Linked DNA regions of Saccharomyces cerevisiae S288C. The gene in region 1 interacts genetically with each later gene. Each region holds a gene or a part of one and is shown in the gene's direction. Other genes may lie near its edges.

Evidence for each region.
Region 2: mutations in MDM38 (region 1) and YME2 together harm fitness more than expected from each alone (negative genetic interaction), as found in Saccharomyces cerevisiae (4 studies listed by BioGRID, with this or other methods).
Region 3: mutations in MDM38 (region 1) and MGR2 together harm fitness more than expected from each alone (negative genetic interaction), as found in Saccharomyces cerevisiae (3 studies listed by BioGRID).
Region 4: mutations in MDM38 (region 1) and UPS1 together harm fitness more than expected from each alone (negative genetic interaction), as found in Saccharomyces cerevisiae (3 studies listed by BioGRID).

The regions. Positions count from the first base shown.
Region 1 is NC_001147.6:270,468-275,972, reverse strand, and holds MDM38 (ribosome-binding protein MDM38), read left to right. Parts: upstream 1-2,248; coding exon 2,249-3,970; downstream 3,971-5,505. Other genes in the region: LAG2 (Lag2p), read right to left, coding at 1-1,016; MIM1 (Mim1p), read left to right, coding at 1,620-1,961; YAP7 (Yap7p), read left to right, coding at 4,603-5,340.
Region 2 is NC_001145.3:868,356-874,670, reverse strand, and holds YME2 (Yme2p), read left to right. Parts: upstream 1-2,045; coding exon 2,046-4,598; downstream 4,599-6,315. Other genes in the region: alcohol dehydrogenase ADH2, read left to right, coding at 334-1,380; ATP-binding cassette Fe/S cluster precursor transporter ATM1, read left to right, coding at 5,044-6,315. UniProt on the Saccharomyces cerevisiae protein: Plays a role in maintaining the mitochondrial genome and in controlling the mtDNA escape. Involved in the regulation of mtDNA nucleotide structure and number. May have a dispensable role in early maturation of pre-rRNA.
Region 3 is NC_001148.4:363,865-367,894, reverse strand, and holds MGR2 (Mgr2p), read left to right. Parts: upstream 1-3,167; coding exon 3,168-3,509; downstream 3,510-4,030. Other genes in the region: PNG1 (peptide-N4-(N-acetyl-beta-glucosaminyl)asparagine amidase), read right to left, coding at 1-968; ERI1 (Eri1p), read left to right, coding at 1,160-1,366; tyrosine--tRNA ligase MSY1, read right to left, coding at 1,465-2,943; INA17 (Ina17p), read left to right, coding at 3,827-4,030. UniProt on the Saccharomyces cerevisiae protein: Required for cell viability in cells lacking mitochondrial DNA.
Region 4 is NC_001144.5:538,531-542,658, reverse strand, and holds UPS1 (Ups1p), read left to right. Parts: upstream 1-2,122; coding exon 2,123-2,650; downstream 2,651-4,128. Other genes in the region: glycylpeptide N-tetradecanoyltransferase NMT1, read left to right, coding at 1-722; NCW2 (Ncw2p), read left to right, coding at 1,086-1,850; HCR1 (translation initiation factor eIF3 core subunit j), read left to right, coding at 3,070-3,867. UniProt on the Saccharomyces cerevisiae protein: Required for maintenance of normal mitochondrial morphology. Required for PCP1-dependent processing of MGM1.

The DNA.
Region 1 (5,505 bases):
GTCCTTGTCAGCGAGTCGTTTAATATGCTGAGCATACCAAACAAACCCTCTCTTAGCTGGCTAATAGTCGAATCTGACAATAGAGGCCTATTATCCTTTAGCCTACGAATAGAAAAATATGGATGGAAGTTATGAACTATTTCGAGAACATCTTCGACGTTACATTCTTCTCCCATTTGCGGGGGGAATAGAACCGGTAATAGCCGGTTAGTAAATAATTTATCGACTATGGGGCCAAATTTGTACCATATTCGAGAAACTGCTGCTAAAGTATTGTACTTCATTTTGGGGCATAAATTTTCCAGGTCCACCGGATGAGTTAATTGCGTAGAAGTCAAAAGTAATTTTTCTGTGATCCTATCAATGCTTTCATTTGTATTCGTAGCAGAATAGTCCTGCGCAATTGTAAAAACGTCATTCAAAATATCAAAGGGCAGTGTGACCATTACTGAAGGACTTGCCGCGTCTGAAAAGAAGCTAAATTTTAGCAATAGATTAAGGGATTCTATGTAAATTAGCATATTGCTTTCAGAAAGTGAATGTGAAAGCTGCGCAGCATCCACATCACACATATGCCTTTTCATTTCAACAATAAATTTGGAGATAAACTCTAATGAACTGTTTACTGGTTGGTGGTAATCTAAATGAGGGGAGTTTTCAATTTTTTGTAACACATTTCTTAGTGTCTCAATCAGAACAAAAGAACGATTTGCATGTATCATGCTTTGGTTTAATAAAGGGTCGCATATCAAGCTTATTACCCATCCCAACTGAGCAGCTGCAGGGTCGCTGATCATAGAAAGAACTAAATCGGGGAGCACTTGAAACGATACTAGGTTGAGAATTTCCATGTCTTGTTCTTCGACCAATACCGGGAGCAGCAATTCGTTAACAAGAGGAGCCAGCTCATCCTCTATGTCGTTAATTTTAAAGTTTTGCCTTAAAAGCATATATTTAAGGTCATTGTCCTTAGTGGAACGATATTGCTCAATCAGTTTACTAATGTGCAAGCTCATTACTAGTTGCGGTAGAACGTGATGTTGATATAGCTGAGTGCAATGTAAACGATTTTGCTACCACTTGTGTAATGTAGAACAAGCTAACCTTAGCTATGTGTAAAAATTTTGTAGAGATGATTCAATAAATGTCACGAAAGGATTGTAGAAGGATAAGAAGCAAGAATTCACAAAAAAGAAATGCGTCACAGACAGGATTCGAACCTGCGCAGGTAAAACCCAATGCCTAATTGCTTTTCTGAGGAAATAGCAGGGCATCGCCTTAACCACTCGGCCACTGGGACACGATTACTTACAATGCACAGCAAGAGCACCCCAACAGTACTTTAAAAACTCTCCTCCAAATATGTCTGCAACGTGTACTATTTATTATAACGAAGATAAATAGTAATACCAATGGCCCATAAAAGCGTATTATTCCACTACCATCGGCCTCCCCTACCACTGAACAAGAGGAATGCGTTACGAGATGTAATCACTTATAACGAAGTGGTATATTCCGCGCCATAAGAAACAGCCATACACTTTACTTGAACAATAGAACATCACTGTAATATTAGAAACATCACCCCCCTTCTTACGAAACTGCCACAAGACAGAAATATGACAGAGGTTGTGGGATTCTGGGAGAGCGTGTCAGATGACGAATCAGAAGACAAAGACTGTATGGAGGTGCAGAACACAGTGAGTGCCGACGAGAGCCCACTTGTGCAGAGCCTTGTATCCTTTGTAGGCTCGTGCTCCATCAACCTACTTTTGCCCTTCCTCAACGGCATGATGCTCGGCTTCGGCGAGCTATTTGCTCACGAGCTCTGCTGGAGATTCAATTGGTTTAACCATAGAAACAAGGGGTATAAGGTGTACCCAGAGTCGCGCAAAATAGCAGCATTGAAAGAGATTTCAAGCCCTGGCACCCGTGGGAGGGTTGCGTCCAAGTTCCTTTAAACGATCACCAAAGCATTAGCAACCTACATAAATAAATACACACACACATACGGTAGATTATACGTAACCACATAACTGGCAATAGTTTCACAAGCCATAAAGCTAGCCACGGTATTACCCTCAAACGACCCCGTCTTGGGCGATAATCCCGCGGTGAAAAATTATTCGTTGAATCATCTCCAAATAAATGGATCAGTCATTGCCACGGTGATGAATATGAACAGCGCAGTGCATTTCAGGCAGCGCATAATATACGCTATCTCTATCACTACAGATAATATACTAAGATGTTGAATTTCGCATCAAGAGCGTCATGTGTGACAAGACGTCAAGCAAGCTTGTATTTTGTTAAAAATCAAGGCCCTAGATTAATAGCTTCCACTATTCCCTCGTGTCATTGGCCTTTGAGAGCGCAAGGAGTACAGCCCAACTATCCTTTATCTTTGAGATTTTATTCTACTGATAAGTCGAAAAGTGTTACGAAGCCCGTAGCTCCAACATCCACCGATGCTCCTGCCAAGCCCAAGGAGACGCTTATGGTCAAAGTGAAGCACGCCTTGAAACATTATGCTAATGGGACGAAACTTTTGGGTTACGAAATCAAAGTTTCTACTAAGCTTTTGATTAAATTTGCTCAGGGTTACGAGTTGTCTAGAAGAGAGAGGAACCAATTGAGGAGGACAATGGGCGATGTGTTTAGGTTGATCCCTTTTTCAGCGTTCCTTATTATTCCATTCGCCGAACTATTTTTGCCTTTCGCTTTGAAACTCTTCCCCAACTTACTACCCTCCACTTACGAATCCGGCAAGGATAAGCAAGCCAAGAGAAATAAGCTCATCGAGATCAGAAAAAAGACATCCGAATTCTTGCATGAGACTTTGGAAGAATCCAATTTGATCACTTACAACACCATTGAAAATGCAGAGAAGAAGCAAAAATTTTTGAATTTTTTCCGGAAGCTTTATTCTGCCAAGGAAGGTAAGATTATGACTTTCCAACACGATGAAATAAGCGCCATTGCGCAAATGTTCAAAAACGATAGCGTTTTGGATAACTTGTCAAGACCACAATTGGCAGCAATGTCGAAGTTTATGTCACTAAGGCCATTTGGTAACGATAACATGCTTCGTTACCAAATTCGTTCCAAACTAAAGGATATAATGAACGACGATAAAACTATTGACTACGAAGGCGTTGAAAGTTTATCGCAAGAAGAGCTGTATCAAGCTTGTGTGTCTCGTGGTATGAAAGCGTACGGTGTATCCAAGGAGGACTTGGTCGATAATCTAAAAGTTTGGCTAGAATTGAGACTGAGACAAAAAATCCCATCCGTCTTGATGGTTTTGAGTTCCACGTTCACGTTTGGAGGACTTCCAAAGGAGAACTATTCAAAGGCATTCTCGCCACTAGCTGAAAAAAAAGAAACAAAAAGCAAATATGACGACCTTTTGGATCTGTACTACGACGGTATATTACAAGTGCTAAGTTCCATTCCAGATCCCGTTTACAACGTCGCAAAACTAGATGTATCTGAATCGAAATCATCCGCTGCTGAAACTGAAGCTGAAAAGCAAGTTGCTGAAAAGAAGATAAAGACGGAAGAAAAACCCGAGGAAACTGCTATACCGAAGGAAGAAGCCACCGCAAAAGAGTCTGTTATAGCTACCACCGCTTCTGCGGTTACTCCTAAACTAGTCGTAGTTAATGAAAAGGCAGAAACAGCGAAGACAGAGGAAATATCTCAGGAAAAAGAGAACGCAGAGCCTACCGACTCTGCGGAAGCCACGGAAGCTGAAGAAAAGAAGACATCCGACGATAACGAGTTCAAATTGAACGTTTTGAAGGAGCAAGAAGAACTAATAAAGAAGGAGGAAGAGGAAGCTAAGCAAAGAGCTTCGAGAGAGCATGTGCCAGATGATATCAACCTAGATGAAGAGGAAGAAGCAAAATCTGTACCTCCCATTCCGGCCGATCAAGCTGCGAAGACTTTTGTCATTAAGAAAGATTGATATTAGATCAAAGCCTAAGAAAAAAACTAAAAAAAACTAAAAAAAAAAAGTCAATCGGTTCTCTTTTCTCTGACAACAATGGCAAAAGATCAAAGAGAAGCGTACGTCACGGCAAAACCAGCGACCCTTCAAAACTAAATTATTATGCATGTATATAATAGACACCCTATCTAAACTACCGCCTTATTTTTTTTTTTATACAGGAGCAAAGTGTCTTTTTTGTGATGGCCACGAGGGTCCTTTCACTCATGACTCCTTAATCAGCATCTTATGAGCTGGATTTTCATATATCGGCGATTTTTTTCATCGGTAATGCACGCAGTAAAGCTGCTCGCTCGAGAAAAATTAGTAATATATGGAAGAAGAAGCATAAGCATAAAAGAGAAAATCCGCTGCCCCACCGTAGAAAGCAAACAAGGCTATTGGTTATTCCTCTTTTCACCTGTACTTCAATCTGTAGCACATCATCATAAGAGGCTTGAAAGTTGCTCAAGAACAGTTTCAACGGTTTTTTCTTTTGAAATTTGAAAATTGCTCTTCGTTTGTTGAGCCGTTATCAAGGAAGTAAATCATCAATTAAAGAATATAGAAAGGCACAAAATTTTGTCATTTACGCACACTTTCAATGGATCATGAGACAACGAAGGTCTGTAGTAGCAGTTAGCGTAAAGCCCAAAGGCTTCAAATTGGGGCATAAACAGGGTTCCATGTCTACGACGTCTCCACCTCCATCCTCACCAGATGGAAATGTGAGTACATCAGGACCGTCAGCTATTAAGTTATCCAAGAATTGGGAGTTACCACAGCGCCTAAAACCGGGCCGCAAACCGAAATCCAAGCGCGGGGATGCATCAGCTAATAATGATGGATCGTCCAAGATAAAGAAGGTTCAAACTTCCAACCAGAAAGACCAAATGACCACAAAAGATCATGAGAACGAAGGCGCAAAAGGTCATGAGGGGAAATCTGATGATGAAGGCAACGGAAGTGGTGATGAAAACGGTGTCGATAGCGTGGAAAAGCGAAGGAGGCAAAATAGAGATGCGCAAAGAGCATATAGGGAACGCAGAACAACAAGAATCCAGGTTCTGGAAGAGAAGGTTGAGATGCTACACAATTTGGTCGATGATTGGCAAAGGAAATATAAACTGCTGGAATCTGAGTTTTCCGATACAAAGGAAAACTTGCAAAAATCAATAGCATTAAACAACGAATTGCAAAAAGCCTTGCCTTTGATTGTTAATACTCCATTTCAACAGCAGCCAGAAAACCCGCCAGACAATCCTATTTCGATATTAGAAATGGTAGAAAACTTTAAACCAATCGGCGCTGTCAGTTTAAAAAAAGGAAAGCTGAAGGCCCATTGTTAACATCTCATGTGCCCGCGGTATTAACAGACCAGTCTTTGTCTGAGATTGATATAGCCAACGATTATCAATATCTGAGCGGCAGACAGTTTAGTTCAACGAATTCATCGCTTGATGGCCATATTAATTCACCTCTGTCTTCATGCAGCAGCAGTATCAATGCATGTG
Region 2 (6,315 bases), on another chromosome or scaffold:
CCACTTCACGAGACTGATCTCCTCTGCCGGAACACCGGGCATCTCCAACTTATAAGTTGGAGAAATAAGAGAATTTCAGATTGAGAGAATGAAAAAAAAAAAAAAAAAAAAGGCAGAGGAGAGCATAGAAATGGGGTTCACTTTTTGGTAAAGCTATAGCATGCCTATCACATATAAATAGAGTGCCAGTAGCGACTTTTTTCACACTCGAAATACTCTTACTACTGCTCTCTTGTTGTTTTTATCACTTCTTGTTTCTTCTTGGTAAATAGAATATCAAGCTACAAAAAGCATACAATCAACTATCAACTATTAACTATATCGTAATACACAATGTCTATTCCAGAAACTCAAAAAGCCATTATCTTCTACGAATCCAACGGCAAGTTGGAGCATAAGGATATCCCAGTTCCAAAGCCAAAGCCCAACGAATTGTTAATCAACGTCAAGTACTCTGGTGTCTGCCACACCGATTTGCACGCTTGGCATGGTGACTGGCCATTGCCAACTAAGTTACCATTAGTTGGTGGTCACGAAGGTGCCGGTGTCGTTGTCGGCATGGGTGAAAACGTTAAGGGCTGGAAGATCGGTGACTACGCCGGTATCAAATGGTTGAACGGTTCTTGTATGGCCTGTGAATACTGTGAATTGGGTAACGAATCCAACTGTCCTCACGCTGACTTGTCTGGTTACACCCACGACGGTTCTTTCCAAGAATACGCTACCGCTGACGCTGTTCAAGCCGCTCACATTCCTCAAGGTACTGACTTGGCTGAAGTCGCGCCAATCTTGTGTGCTGGTATCACCGTATACAAGGCTTTGAAGTCTGCCAACTTGAGAGCAGGCCACTGGGCGGCCATTTCTGGTGCTGCTGGTGGTCTAGGTTCTTTGGCTGTTCAATATGCTAAGGCGATGGGTTACAGAGTCTTAGGTATTGATGGTGGTCCAGGAAAGGAAGAATTGTTTACCTCGCTCGGTGGTGAAGTATTCATCGACTTCACCAAAGAGAAGGACATTGTTAGCGCAGTCGTTAAGGCTACCAACGGCGGTGCCCACGGTATCATCAATGTTTCCGTTTCCGAAGCCGCTATCGAAGCTTCTACCAGATACTGTAGGGCGAACGGTACTGTTGTCTTGGTTGGTTTGCCAGCCGGTGCAAAGTGCTCCTCTGATGTCTTCAACCACGTTGTCAAGTCTATCTCCATTGTCGGCTCTTACGTGGGGAACAGAGCTGATACCAGAGAAGCCTTAGATTTCTTTGCCAGAGGTCTAGTCAAGTCTCCAATAAAGGTAGTTGGCTTATCCAGTTTACCAGAAATTTACGAAAAGATGGAGAAGGGCCAAATTGCTGGTAGATACGTTGTTGACACTTCTAAATAAGCGGATCTCTTATGTCTTTACGATTTATAGTTTTCATTATCAAGTATGCCTATATTAGTATATAGCATCTTTAGATGACAGTGTTCGAAGTTTCACGAATAAAAGATAATATTCTACTTTTTGCTCCCACCGCGTTTGCTAGCACGAGTGAACACCATCCCTCGCCTGTGAGTTGTACCCATTCCTCTAAACTGTAGACATGGTAGCTTCAGCAGTGTTCGTTATGTACGGCATCCTCCAACAAACAGTCGGTTATAGTTTGTCCTGCTCCTCTGAATCGTCTCCCTCGATATTTCTCATTTTCCTTCGCATGCCAGCATTGAAATGATCGAAGTTCAATGATGAAACGGTAATTCTTCTGTCATTTACTCATCTCATCTCATCAAGTTATATAATTCTATACGGATGTAATTTTTCACTTTTCGTCTTGACGTCCACCCTATAATTTCAATTATTGAACCCTCACAAATGATGCACTGCAATGTACACACCCTCATATAGTTTCTCAGGGCTTGATCAGGGTTCCGTAGATGGGAATTTGAGAAGTATAAGGGAGATAACGGTAATGTTATATTGAGAAAATGAAAGATGAACTCAGTATTGACAGGATCTAAAACCAAAATATAGCGGGCCTATACAGGAAGTAGTATTTGTAAAAGTAAACCATGTTGCTAGTACGAACGACTTCCCTGAATGTGTCAAGGATGCCAGTGCCATGCCTCGCCAGAGGAATAGGCATCCTCAAGGGCAAATATAGACTAGCGAACCTGATGAATGCCCAACCCTCAGTGAGACATGTGTCGAGCGAGATCCAGCAAAAGGATCAGCAGGCAGGAGAGTCAAACACCGCCACCGATACTGGTGTTATTCACAAATCAGATGAAGAAACTCTGATATATTTCGATAATGTTTACGCTAGAACCACCTCGGTTTGGAATCCAACACTGTGGTACAATCTCCTGCTAAGAAACCAGTCACGGGATGCAGTGAGGGAGAAAATAAGGAATTTAGCCAGTCCACCCAATAACCCCATTTATGGACTGGAGTTGAAGTCTACCATTCCAGTGAAAAGGGATGGTGGTGTATTTGCCACATTTGTCGTTCCACCCAAGTATACAAAAGCTCAGGTAAATTCTCTAATCCAACAGAATACAGCCAGAGAATCCTCTAAAAACTTACTCTCGTACTTCACTCGAGCTTCTGCCTTCCCAGTAAAGGGTTCGCCTTGGATTGAGGATTTAAGAAGACTACCAAGTACCACTATAGTCATCAAGTTCCAAGGGCCCGCCTTAACAGAAGAAGAAATATACTCTTTATTCAGAAGATATGGGACAATTATTGATATTTTCCCTCCCACTGCTGCTAACAACAATGTGGCAAAGGTAAGATACCGTTCATTCCGTGGTGCCATTTCTGCCAAGAATTGTGTTTCCGGTATCGAAATTCATAATACCGTCTTACACATACAATACGAAAATATCAGAAGAGGCCATCTAGTTAGTAATTTTTTCACCAACCATACAAGGATTGCTATTCCAGTTTTATTTGCGCTACTTTCAATCTTTGCTGTTTTAGTGTTTGATCCTATAAGAGAATTTTCGATTGAACAGAAGATCACTCACAAATATTCTTTATCGTGGGACAATAAGTTTTGGAAACAACTGAAAACGCTAACCTCATCTACCATGACTTCTATCAAGTACTACTGGGGCGGCCCTGATGATAATCACCAAAGAAAGCATTTATGGGAGGAAAGAATAGAGAAAGTGAATGACCTGAAAATGTGGCTTGAAGAAAATAATAATACTTTTGTGGTTATAAGGGGGCCTAGAGGTTCAGGGAAACATGATTTGGTCATGCAACACACTTTGCAAAATAGAGCAAATGTTTTGTATTTGGATTGTGATAAATTGATTAAGTCCAGAACAGATCCTATGTTTTTAAAAAATGCCGCTAGTCAATTGGGTTATTTCCCAATATTCCCATGGATTGACTCTGTCACAGGTGTCCTTGATTTAACAGTGCAAGGATTAACAGGGCAAAAAACTGGGTTGTCTGAGACGAAGGAATCTCGGTTTAGAAACATGTTAACTACCTCATTGATGTCCATTAGACGTATTGCTCTCAAGAATTACAAGGCTTTTGTTTCCACCGGTGATGGGACAGTTAATGTTAAGGAAGAAGATTACCTACAGCAACATCCGGAAGCTAAACCCGTTATCGTCATAGATAGGTTTGAGGGCAAGTCGGAAATAAATGGATTTGTGTATAAGGAACTATCCGATTGGGCAGCTATGCTAGTTCAAATGAATATTGCTCATGTGATTTTCTTAACGGAAACCGTTGCATCCAACCAAAGATTGAGCGAATCACTACCCAATCAAGTCTTCAAAAACCTAATCCTATCAGATGCCTCAAAAGAGAATTCGAGGAACTATGTATTATCCCAATTGGAGGATTACTTATATTACAATAAAAAATCCAAGGGTGAAAACGTAAAAGAACCTGAATCAGAAAAGGAAACTGCTGAAAATAATGATTCTGATAGTGAGGCCGATACGAGTGTCAAAAAAGCTGAGGTTATTTTAAATGAAAAGGAATTACAGGAAATTGACGCTTCTTTAGAGCCATTGGGTGGTAGGATGTTAGACTTACAGGCATTTGTAAGAAGGGTAAAGTCAGGAGAAGAGCCCTCGGAAGCAGTAGACAAAATGATTGAACAGGCTTCTGAGCAAATAACTCAAATGTTTTTAAGTGACAAGATTGACAGCAATAAAAGTGCACAAGCCTGGGAATTAATCGAATTATTGAGTGCGAACCCAGTCATTCCATTCCATGAAATCGTTAACAAGCCATTATTCAAAGCCGCACCAGAAACGGGAATCATGGAATTGGAGAATAATGGTTTAATAACTGTATCTAGAGATAGGGGTGTTTTACAGGAAATCAGGCCTGCCAAACCGCTATACAGGGCAGCATTCACATACTTGATCAACGATCCTGAACTCGCAAAAGTGCTAAAAACCCGTTACTTATTAAAGGTTGTGGGTTTTGAAACTGGTAGAATCAAGAAATGGGAAGAAGAATTAAAACCTTTGGGGAAAGTTCCTGATCAGAAACTTTTCAAGACCAGATTGGACTATTTATCCGGTAAAATCAATGCCAGTAATGCAGTCATTACCAAATGTGAAGAAGAAATTAAAAACCTATCTAAGTGATGAAACAAAACTTACTATTCTGCTTTTCTGTACATATGTGTAAACCCTATATTGCTATACTCATCTATATTCTTTTGAAAATGTATAAAAGTGACGATTGGAGATGGTGCAATTTTCTACGCAGCATGAAAAATATCTAAGGAAGGTAAGGTACATACCAAGTAAGTCTTATAATATGTTGTTGTACCTCACTTTACCATTCTTAAAGTCTTTAAAAGAAATTACCTTACCCAATTTGCACAGCAAAGGTCACTGACCTATACGTGCCCTTCATCAGATTACATCACGTGAAATTTCACTGGGAAAGAGCGCGAGGGCTTTCCGATGACTTTCTACATTAATAATCGCAAACAAAGCAATCAGCACAGCAAAGAGTACAATTTCGAAAATTGCGACAGAGCAACGTAAGTATATCGTTGTTGATAGATTCCACTCCAACCTGCAAATGCTGCTTCTTCCAAGATGTCCTGTAATTGGGCGAATTGTAAGATCAAAATTTAGATCTGGTCTAATCCGGAACCATTCGCCCGTTATATTTACTGTGTCTAAGTTATCAACCCAGCGGCCTCTGTTATTCAATTCAGCTGTGAATTTATGGAATCAAGCACAAAAGGATATTACGCACAAAAAATCCGTCGAGCAATTCTCGTCGGCTCCAAAAGTGAAGACTCAGGTAAAAAAGACCAGCAAGGCCCCAACCCTCTCGGAACTGAAAATCTTGAAAGATCTATTTCGCTATATTTGGCCCAAAGGCAACAATAAAGTGAGGATAAGGGTACTGATTGCCCTTGGACTGTTGATATCCGCCAAAATTTTAAATGTTCAAGTACCTTTTTTTTTCAAGCAAACTATTGATTCAATGAATATAGCATGGGATGATCCTACAGTCGCCCTTCCGGCAGCGATTGGATTAACCATTCTTTGCTATGGTGTTGCAAGGTTCGGCTCTGTTTTATTCGGCGAACTGAGGAACGCCGTATTTGCCAAAGTGGCACAGAATGCCATTAGAACTGTGTCGCTACAAACTTTCCAGCACCTTATGAAGTTAGATTTGGGATGGCACTTGAGTAGACAAACGGGTGGTCTGACGAGGGCCATGGATAGAGGTACAAAGGGTATATCTCAAGTGTTAACGGCCATGGTATTCCACATTATCCCTATAAGTTTTGAAATATCTGTCGTTTGTGGGATTTTGACGTATCAATTCGGTGCGTCATTTGCCGCAATAACATTCAGTACAATGCTTTTATACTCCATTTTCACTATAAAGACGACCGCATGGAGGACACATTTTAGAAGGGATGCTAACAAGGCCGATAACAAAGCTGCCAGTGTGGCTTTAGATTCTTTAATTAATTTTGAGGCGGTAAAATACTTCAACAATGAAAAATATCTTGCAGATAAGTATAATGGCTCCTTGATGAACTATCGTGACTCTCAAATTAAAGTATCGCAATCTCTAGCATTTTTGAACTCCGGCCAAAATCTAATTTTTACTACTGCCCTAACTGCAATGATGTATATGGGTTGCACCGGCGTTATTGGTGGCAACTTGACAGTTGGTGACTTGGTTCTAATTAATCAGTTGGTTTTTCAACTATCAGTACCGCTAAATTTTCTTGGTAGTGTTTACAGAGATTTAAAGCAGTCTCTGATTGATATGGAAACGCTATTTAAGTTAAGAAAAAATGAAGTCAAGATTAAAAATGCCGAACGT
Region 3 (4,030 bases), on another chromosome or scaffold:
AGCTCTATCTGTTCCTGCTCATCGCGACATGCAAGTTGGTATATCTCGTCATCATTTAACGAATACCTCAACCTCTTCGTTATAAATTGACAAAGGAATTTTAAATCTTCTTCCTTGATTTGATCTCTGGGCAGCTCGTTTTGGAGGATATAGCGTTTACTAACGTCAACAACGCCATCTTTACCGAACGCAATACAGTAACTCATTTTCTTGTTCCAGTTAATTGAATAGATATATGGTTGGTCGAATGATTGCTCACAGGAGTCGACATGAACCCACCTATTCAAAAAATTTGAAAAATATTCACACCAAACATGATCTTCTCTATTCCAGACGTAGCGAACATCTAACCCAAACGACTTCAAAATCAAAGTAAATAAATTGCACCATTCACCGCATCTTCCCTTTCTAGTTTCCAGCAACTTAATTGGATCGTTATAACGAGGAAATCTAGTGATATTTCCGCATCGGTTGCATTTATAGATCTCAACAGTTCCGCAATTGAATTTAGATTCCTCTCCATTGGGCCCTTGACTGCCCAGAGGTGTCATATTTTCTGAAGTGTTCTGGCCACAATGATTACAATCTGGTTTATTGCACCATTTGAAAAAATCTTGTTTGAAGTAGCGAAGCAGCTCCTTTACTAGATAATCCGTGTATATATTTTCCCCCTCTGCATGCCCATCTTTGGCAAATTCCTTATCAACATTTTTATATATTAGATCCAGATCCAATGTCTCCAGGACTATAGAATGCCATGAAGGATTGTCATAGACTGTACAGAGATGTTGACTCTGACCTAGGACTCCTTGTGCGAATTGATTTGTATGGACTAAATTCTGAAACCTTATATTCTCTACAGGTGCAGCTTTCTTGAATTTAGACAGTATGAAATCCTTATACTTAATTAACAACATTTTGGCTATTGAATCAAAATCTATGTTATTTTTTTCGTATACCTCTCCCATTGCTACTCCACCTGTTACCTTCTTCAGGTTGTTTTACGTCTTCTATATCTGTTCCCAACGCATCCTTTTTTCTTCGCTACAATACAAGGAAGATTACACTACGCAAAGTTTCGAAAACATCAAGAAGCATAGAACAGTTGAAACTAGGCAACAGGACTGTTTCAATTACATGATTGAGAATTTATAAGCGCATGAGACCACGTGACCAAGGCTTTTTGGTTTTAGGGTTTACTTACTCGGTACTCCTAATTAGTCTTGCTACATTTTACTGGTTACGCAACAATGACTCTTTCCTGCACTACTGGTGTGTATTACTGCTATGCCCTGCGACTCTCTGGCTGTGGGCCCTCATAGCCTGGTGTGACAGTGAAATGTTCGCAAGTAGTAAAGATGAATAATCGTTTATAATCTTATTTACAAGTCAGTGCATAAAATGATATAATATCACCTCACGCATGCCTATTTTATACATGTACTTTATATACCTCCCTTTTTTTTAACGCATTTCTATTATAAAACACTTCTGCTTTCCTATCCTCAAGATCAGTACTCGATCATCTATCAGGAAAGGAGCCAAGTTAGAAATATTTTCGTTTACTTTAGATTTTGAATGATGCAGATACACGCTTCCCTGGGAAAGTTTTCTTCTGGCTTCTGATACTGAACAATTTACTAGTTTACAAATTAACTTTATTAAGTCAATCTCTCTATCAGCATACTGCAAAATTCTGGCTTTTTTACATAGATCAACTAACTTCGCAGCAGATAAAGTTCCGTCATAACGTCCAAAAATAATATTAGAAAGCGCTTCTGAATCCGATCCGGAGCCAACTCCATATAACATATCTGTGACTTCTTTAGCCAATAAAGTTTGGCCATAACGTAGACTGGGTGATTTGATATGCGTTTCCACAATTTTTTTGATTTCACTTGAGTTTAAAAACGTAAAGATCTTCAAGAACTTGGGTACATCAGCATCCAAAGTATTATAAAAGAACTGGTAAACATCATACGCCGTATTGATTGAGGGGTCAATAAAAACAGCATTGCCTGCACTTTTCCCAAATTTCTCTCCTGTAGCCGTCGTCAACAAGGGCACAGTGATACCAAATGGCAAACCCTTATTCTTTATAGGCTGTATCCTATTGATGAGATCGATACCGGCTGTTATATTTCCCCATTGGTCGTTACCACCTACTTGTATAGTCACATTCTCTTCCTTATACAAATGGTAAAAATCGTACGCTTGTAAAACTTGGTAAGTAAATTCGTTAAATCCCAGACCATTTTTGGTTTGAAGCCTCGAAGAAATTGAATCCCTCGCCAACATAGATTGTACCCGAATGTGCCTACCAAAATCAGCTAAGAAATCCAACATTTTGATGTCTTTCCACCAGTTGAAATTATTCCTTGGTGTATATTTTCCGGAAGGTACATCTTCAGTGAGAGCACATCGGTTTCTGTAATATTCTAGGCCATTTTTGAAAAACCTTTGTAATTGCTGCGAGATGGATGCCACATTGCTTTGCCTAATATCGTTCTCCATAACGTCTCTTTCTGTTTTCCTACCACTTGGGTCCCCAACTTTCCCTGTAGCTCCACCTATCACAGTGACAATGTCGTGACCTTTTACGTAAAAGTGTAATAAAACCATTAGTGGAACTAGATTTCCCAAATGAAGTGACTGAGCTGTGGGATCCACCCCGCAGTATAATTTGATCTTATCGTTACCGTTCAACTTCGTCCGAAGGAAACTCTCTGGCTGTGAGACCTGGGACACTAGACCCCTTTGTTTGAGTTCGTCTAAAATATTATCGCTTCGAGAATCCGATGTGCCCTGTACTTCTAAAGCACTAGGCTGTGAATAAAATCGAGATTTAGGCAATGTTATTGCACTTAGTCCGGAATAAGTCACCAGAGGCACAAGTCTCCTACTACTATTGACCAAATTACTACAACTTCGTAATTCGAGCATGATTCACAATGTCTACCTGTAGATTGCTGTGTTCAATCGGAAACTGGAAATTCTTTCTTAACATTATGAGCCAACCACTTTTTATTTTCTTTTCAAAACTCCCGAACAAGACCAACATTACCAAACAGACTCCACTACTTTTCCATAAGAAGGAAGCACAGAACACCACACAAGATCATATAGCACAAATAGCGCAACAGCTTCAAGTCCAATATTAAGATATAATGCCTCCTCTTCCACAAAATTATGCGCAACAGCAGCCTTCGAATTGGGACAAATTCAAAATGGGGTTGATGATGGGTACTACCGTCGGTGTCTGCACAGGCATCCTATTTGGTGGATTTGCCATCGCAACTCAAGGCCCAGGTCCTGATGGTGTAGTTAGAACACTAGGGAAATACATTGCTGGTTCAGCGGGTACCTTTGGGCTATTTATGTCCATCGGGTCTATAATCAGAAGTGATAGTGAAAGTAGTCCAATGTCCCATCCTAACCTGAACCTACAGCAACAGGCAAGACTGGAAATGTGGAAGCTTCGTGCCAAATACGGTATACGTAAGGACTGAGGGGGAAATTTTGCATATATTTACGCTTCCCCATCGTTTTCTTAAACATTGTTACTTATCTGCTTATTTTTATTTAAGATATCTATCTACCTGTTTATAACTCTCTCAATACCATGTATTTAAGTTCATCACGACGAGGCTTATTTACTTAATATATTTGTATACGTGGGAAATGTCTAATATGTATACCGGTTTGCATCTTATTTTGGGTGGGGTCACTAACGGCAAGACTCATAAAATAAAGTATTCGCTAAGCACTCTGTTATATTTGTAAACTTTGAGAAAGGAAATGGGAACCAAAGCATATAATAGACAATATGTTAAAAAGACGCTCTAATGCTCTCATTACTTTGAGTAGAACTAAATTGTTTCCCATAACAACCGTTGCCTATTACCACAGGCGCCTCCTCAACCAACAACGAAGAGCTGTTTCAACGTCACCGAAGAAAGAAATCAAGAGCCTAGAAGACTTGGCTAATTTGGATTCTTTGGATGGTGTTGATACTGAACTGATACGCGAT
Region 4 (4,128 bases), on another chromosome or scaffold:
CGTGTCGTTATACTCATCGTCCCTTGAATTGGAAGAAACTTTATGAAGTAGATTTCACAGGGTTACCAGATGGGCACACAGAGGAGGATATGATTGCTGAGAATGCGTTACCGGCCAAAACAAAGACAGCGGGATTGAGAAAATTAAAGAAGGAAGATATTGACCAAGTTTTTGAGTTGTTCAAAAGATATCAATCCAGGTTCGAACTAATTCAAATTTTCACAAAAGAAGAATTCGAACATAATTTCATTGGTGAAGAATCGTTACCATTGGATAAACAAGTAATTTTCTCATATGTAGTCGAACAGCCCGATGGAAAAATTACAGACTTCTTCTCATTTTACTCATTGCCATTCACAATCCTAAATAACACAAAATATAAGGACCTAGGCATCGGGTACTTGTATTATTATGCCACCGATGCAGATTTCCAATTCAAAGACAGGTTTGATCCAAAAGCTACTAAGGCTTTGAAAACAAGATTGTGTGAATTGATTTATGACGCTTGTATTTTGGCCAAAAACGCTAATATGGATGTTTTTAACGCGTTGACTTCGCAAGATAATACATTGTTCTTGGATGATTTGAAGTTCGGGCCCGGTGACGGGTTCTTGAACTTCTATTTATTTAATTATAGAGCAAAGCCGATTACCGGTGGCTTGAATCCCGACAATAGTAACGACATTAAAAGGCGTAGCAATGTCGGTGTTGTTATGTTGTAGTGGCTGAAAGGACGAGGCGTATATAGTTTTCGTGTACATAGCCGACAGAATTTGACCACATTTAGTTTTTCCGCATAGTCAATTGACGAAGTGAAAAAATAATTAATCCAATGGCTGGCTTTAGAGTGTCAGCCTCCAAAATAAATCCAAAAATAGACAAAGAGAATCACTATAATTACCGCCTTGGAGTCCAAGTTGGCTTGAGAACTCGCATTTATTTTTAGCGACTGAGGTAGCTGAAAAACGCCTACTTTCTCAGAAGGCGGTAGTGAGCATATATAAGTATGTAAGAAAGATCAACTCTTCTGGACTAGATACTCACCGATCTAGTGAAAATATAAACAAACCCAACATATATATAAAATGAAGGCCTGTTCCATATTATTTACCACCTTAATTACTCTAGCCGCTGCTCAAAAAGACTCTGGTTCCTTAGATGGCCAGAACTCTGAAGATAGCTCACAAAAGGAAAGCTCAAACTCTCAAGAGATCACACCTACCACGACAAAGGAAGCCCAAGAAAGCGCATCAACTGTAGTTTCTACCGGAAAAAGCTTAGTACAAACTAGCAACGTCGTCAGCAACACCTATGCTGTGGCTCCAAGTACCACCGTAGTGACGACGGATGCACAAGGCAAAACCACGACACAGTACCTATGGTGGGTGGCCGAAAGCAACTCTGCCGTAAGCACAACTTCAACTGCCTCTGTGCAGCCCACCGGAGAGACGTCAAGCGGAATCACCAACTCCGCATCCTCCTCAACGACATCAACATCAACGGACGGGCCAGTTACTATAGTAACTACCACGAATTCGTTAGGTGAGACTTACACATCTACTGTTTGGTGGCTACCGTCCTCAGCCACAACTGACAACACGGCTTCATCAAGTAAATCATCTTCGGGATCCTCATCAAAACCGGAATCAAGCACCAAGGTAGTAAGCACTATCAAATCAACTTATACCACTACGTCAGGTTCTACAGTAGAGACACTGACCACTACATACAAGTCTACAGTCAACGGTAAGGTAGCGTCCGTAATGTCCAATTCTACCAATGGCGCCTTTGCCGGCACTCACATAGCTTATGGTGCGGGTGCATTCGCCGTTGGTGCCCTTTTGTTATAGAATGTATAATCAGTTCTGTATACCACCACATAGTTCTGCATTTTAATAAAACTCTTTCTTTTTATACACTGTAGGTAACCAATAATATAACTATTGTTATCATCGTGCTTGCGTATTTTTTTTCTTTCGGGTGAAAAACTCCGCAGTATTTCTCGCTCTCCCTGGATAATAAGCTAGAAAAAAAAAATATATATGACAGATGGATGAGTAATCATATTCAATAAGTATTGTCTGGCTTCTGAGACGGCGGTAAGATATCCTTAAGAGTTGCAATGGTCCTTTTACACAAAAGCACACATATATTTCCTACCGATTTTGCCTCTGTTTCACGCGCCTTTTTTAATAGATACCCCAATCCATACTCCCCCCATGTACTATCCATAGACACAATATCAAGGAACGTTGATCAAGAAGGAAATTTGCGCACAACGAGGCTGTTGAAAAAGTCCGGAAAGCTGCCCACATGGGTCAAACCCTTTTTAAGAGGTATAACAGAAACATGGATAATCGAAGTTTCCGTAGTGAACCCCGCTAACTCCACAATGAAAACTTACACTAGGAATCTGGATCACACTGGAATCATGAAGGTTGAAGAATATACTACCTATCAATTTGACAGTGCTACAAGTAGTACGATAGCAGACAGCCGGGTGAAGTTTTCAAGTGGCTTCAATATGGGTATCAAATCTAAGGTAGAGGATTGGTCGCGCACTAAATTTGACGAAAACGTTAAGAAAAGCAGAATGGGCATGGCATTTGTTATCCAAAAACTCGAAGAGGCGAGAAATCCTCAGTTTTGATGTTCCCATTTAAAGATCTTTAAAGATATCACCATGGGCGAGCGAAATTGAGAAAACTAGTGCAGCTCGCATTTGGTCACGTCCTAAAAATTGTAAATAAGCGCTGGTTCAACAAAATTTAATATACACACATATATAATTATTTATTTATAACAGTCATTCTGCTAAACTATACATCAAATGTCACTAATCTTGATATTATGGTCGTCCCTGTATCATATTAGACGAACACACCTGTTTTTGGGCATTTTCCGAATTTTTTTTTCATGCTAGCTAAGTCAGAAGTACTACATTAAAGAATTGAGAACTGACTGCTCCCACCATTCTTGAACTCTCGCTTTAAATTATCTTACTATCTTTTGAGTTCCTTGTAACTATTCTATCCTAACCACCACCTCAAAAAAAAAAAAGTAATAAAAATGTCTTGGGACGACGAAGCTATCAATGGTTCTATGGGTAATGATGACGCCGTTTTGATGGACTCATGGGATGCTGAAATTGGTGATGACGAACCTGTCATGCAATCATGGGATGCAGAAGAGGAAGAAAAGAAGCCTGCCCCAAAGCCAAAAAAAGAACAACCAAAAAAGGTTAAAAAAGGGAAAGAATCCTCCGCTGACAGAGCCCTATTGGATATTGACACATTGGATGAAAAGACACGTAAAGAATTAATCAAAAAGGCTGAAATGGAGTCTGACTTAAACAATGCTGCAGATTTGTTTGCGGGTTTAGGTGTTGCCGAAGAACATCCAAGGGCTCGTGCTTTACAAAAGGAACAAGAGGAACAAGCTCTAAAAAGACCCGCCTTTACCAAGGACACACCTATCGAAACACATCCTTTGTTTAACGCCGAAACAAAGAGAGAGTACCAGGATTTAAGAAAGGCTCTTACTGCTGCTATTACACCAATGAACAAAAAATCTCCGCTGAACTACTCCTCATCGTTAGCGATTGATTTGATTAGAGATGTAGCAAAACCAATGTCCATCGAATCTATAAGACAAACAGTTGCTACTTTGAACGTTTTGATCAAAGATAAGGAAAGAGAGGAGAGGCAAGCTCGTCTGGCCCGTGTTAGAGGTGGTACTGCTACTGGGGGTGCTGGTAAGAAGAAAGTCAAAGGTAAGACCAATTTGGGTGGCGCATTTAAGAAAGATCAAGATTTCGACCTAGATGGCCCCGACGATTTTGAATTCGGTGATGACGACTTTATGTAATCTGCTTATTGTTTCTTTGCTATGATAAACTTGTCCATCTCATTTTGTTGGTGAAAAAAAGCGAAGCCCAGCACCGCAGGCCTTGGATATTGCCATATCACAATTGTCCTGAAATTGTGAATGTCTATATTCCCATATATATATCCATAGGCGTTTCATTCATATAAAAATAAATACGCATATGTGTACGTAGGAGATTGTGTTTTCAAGATGGAGAATATAATGTGTTTTTGCACCGTTATCTGGCTTTTTGTTAAGAAG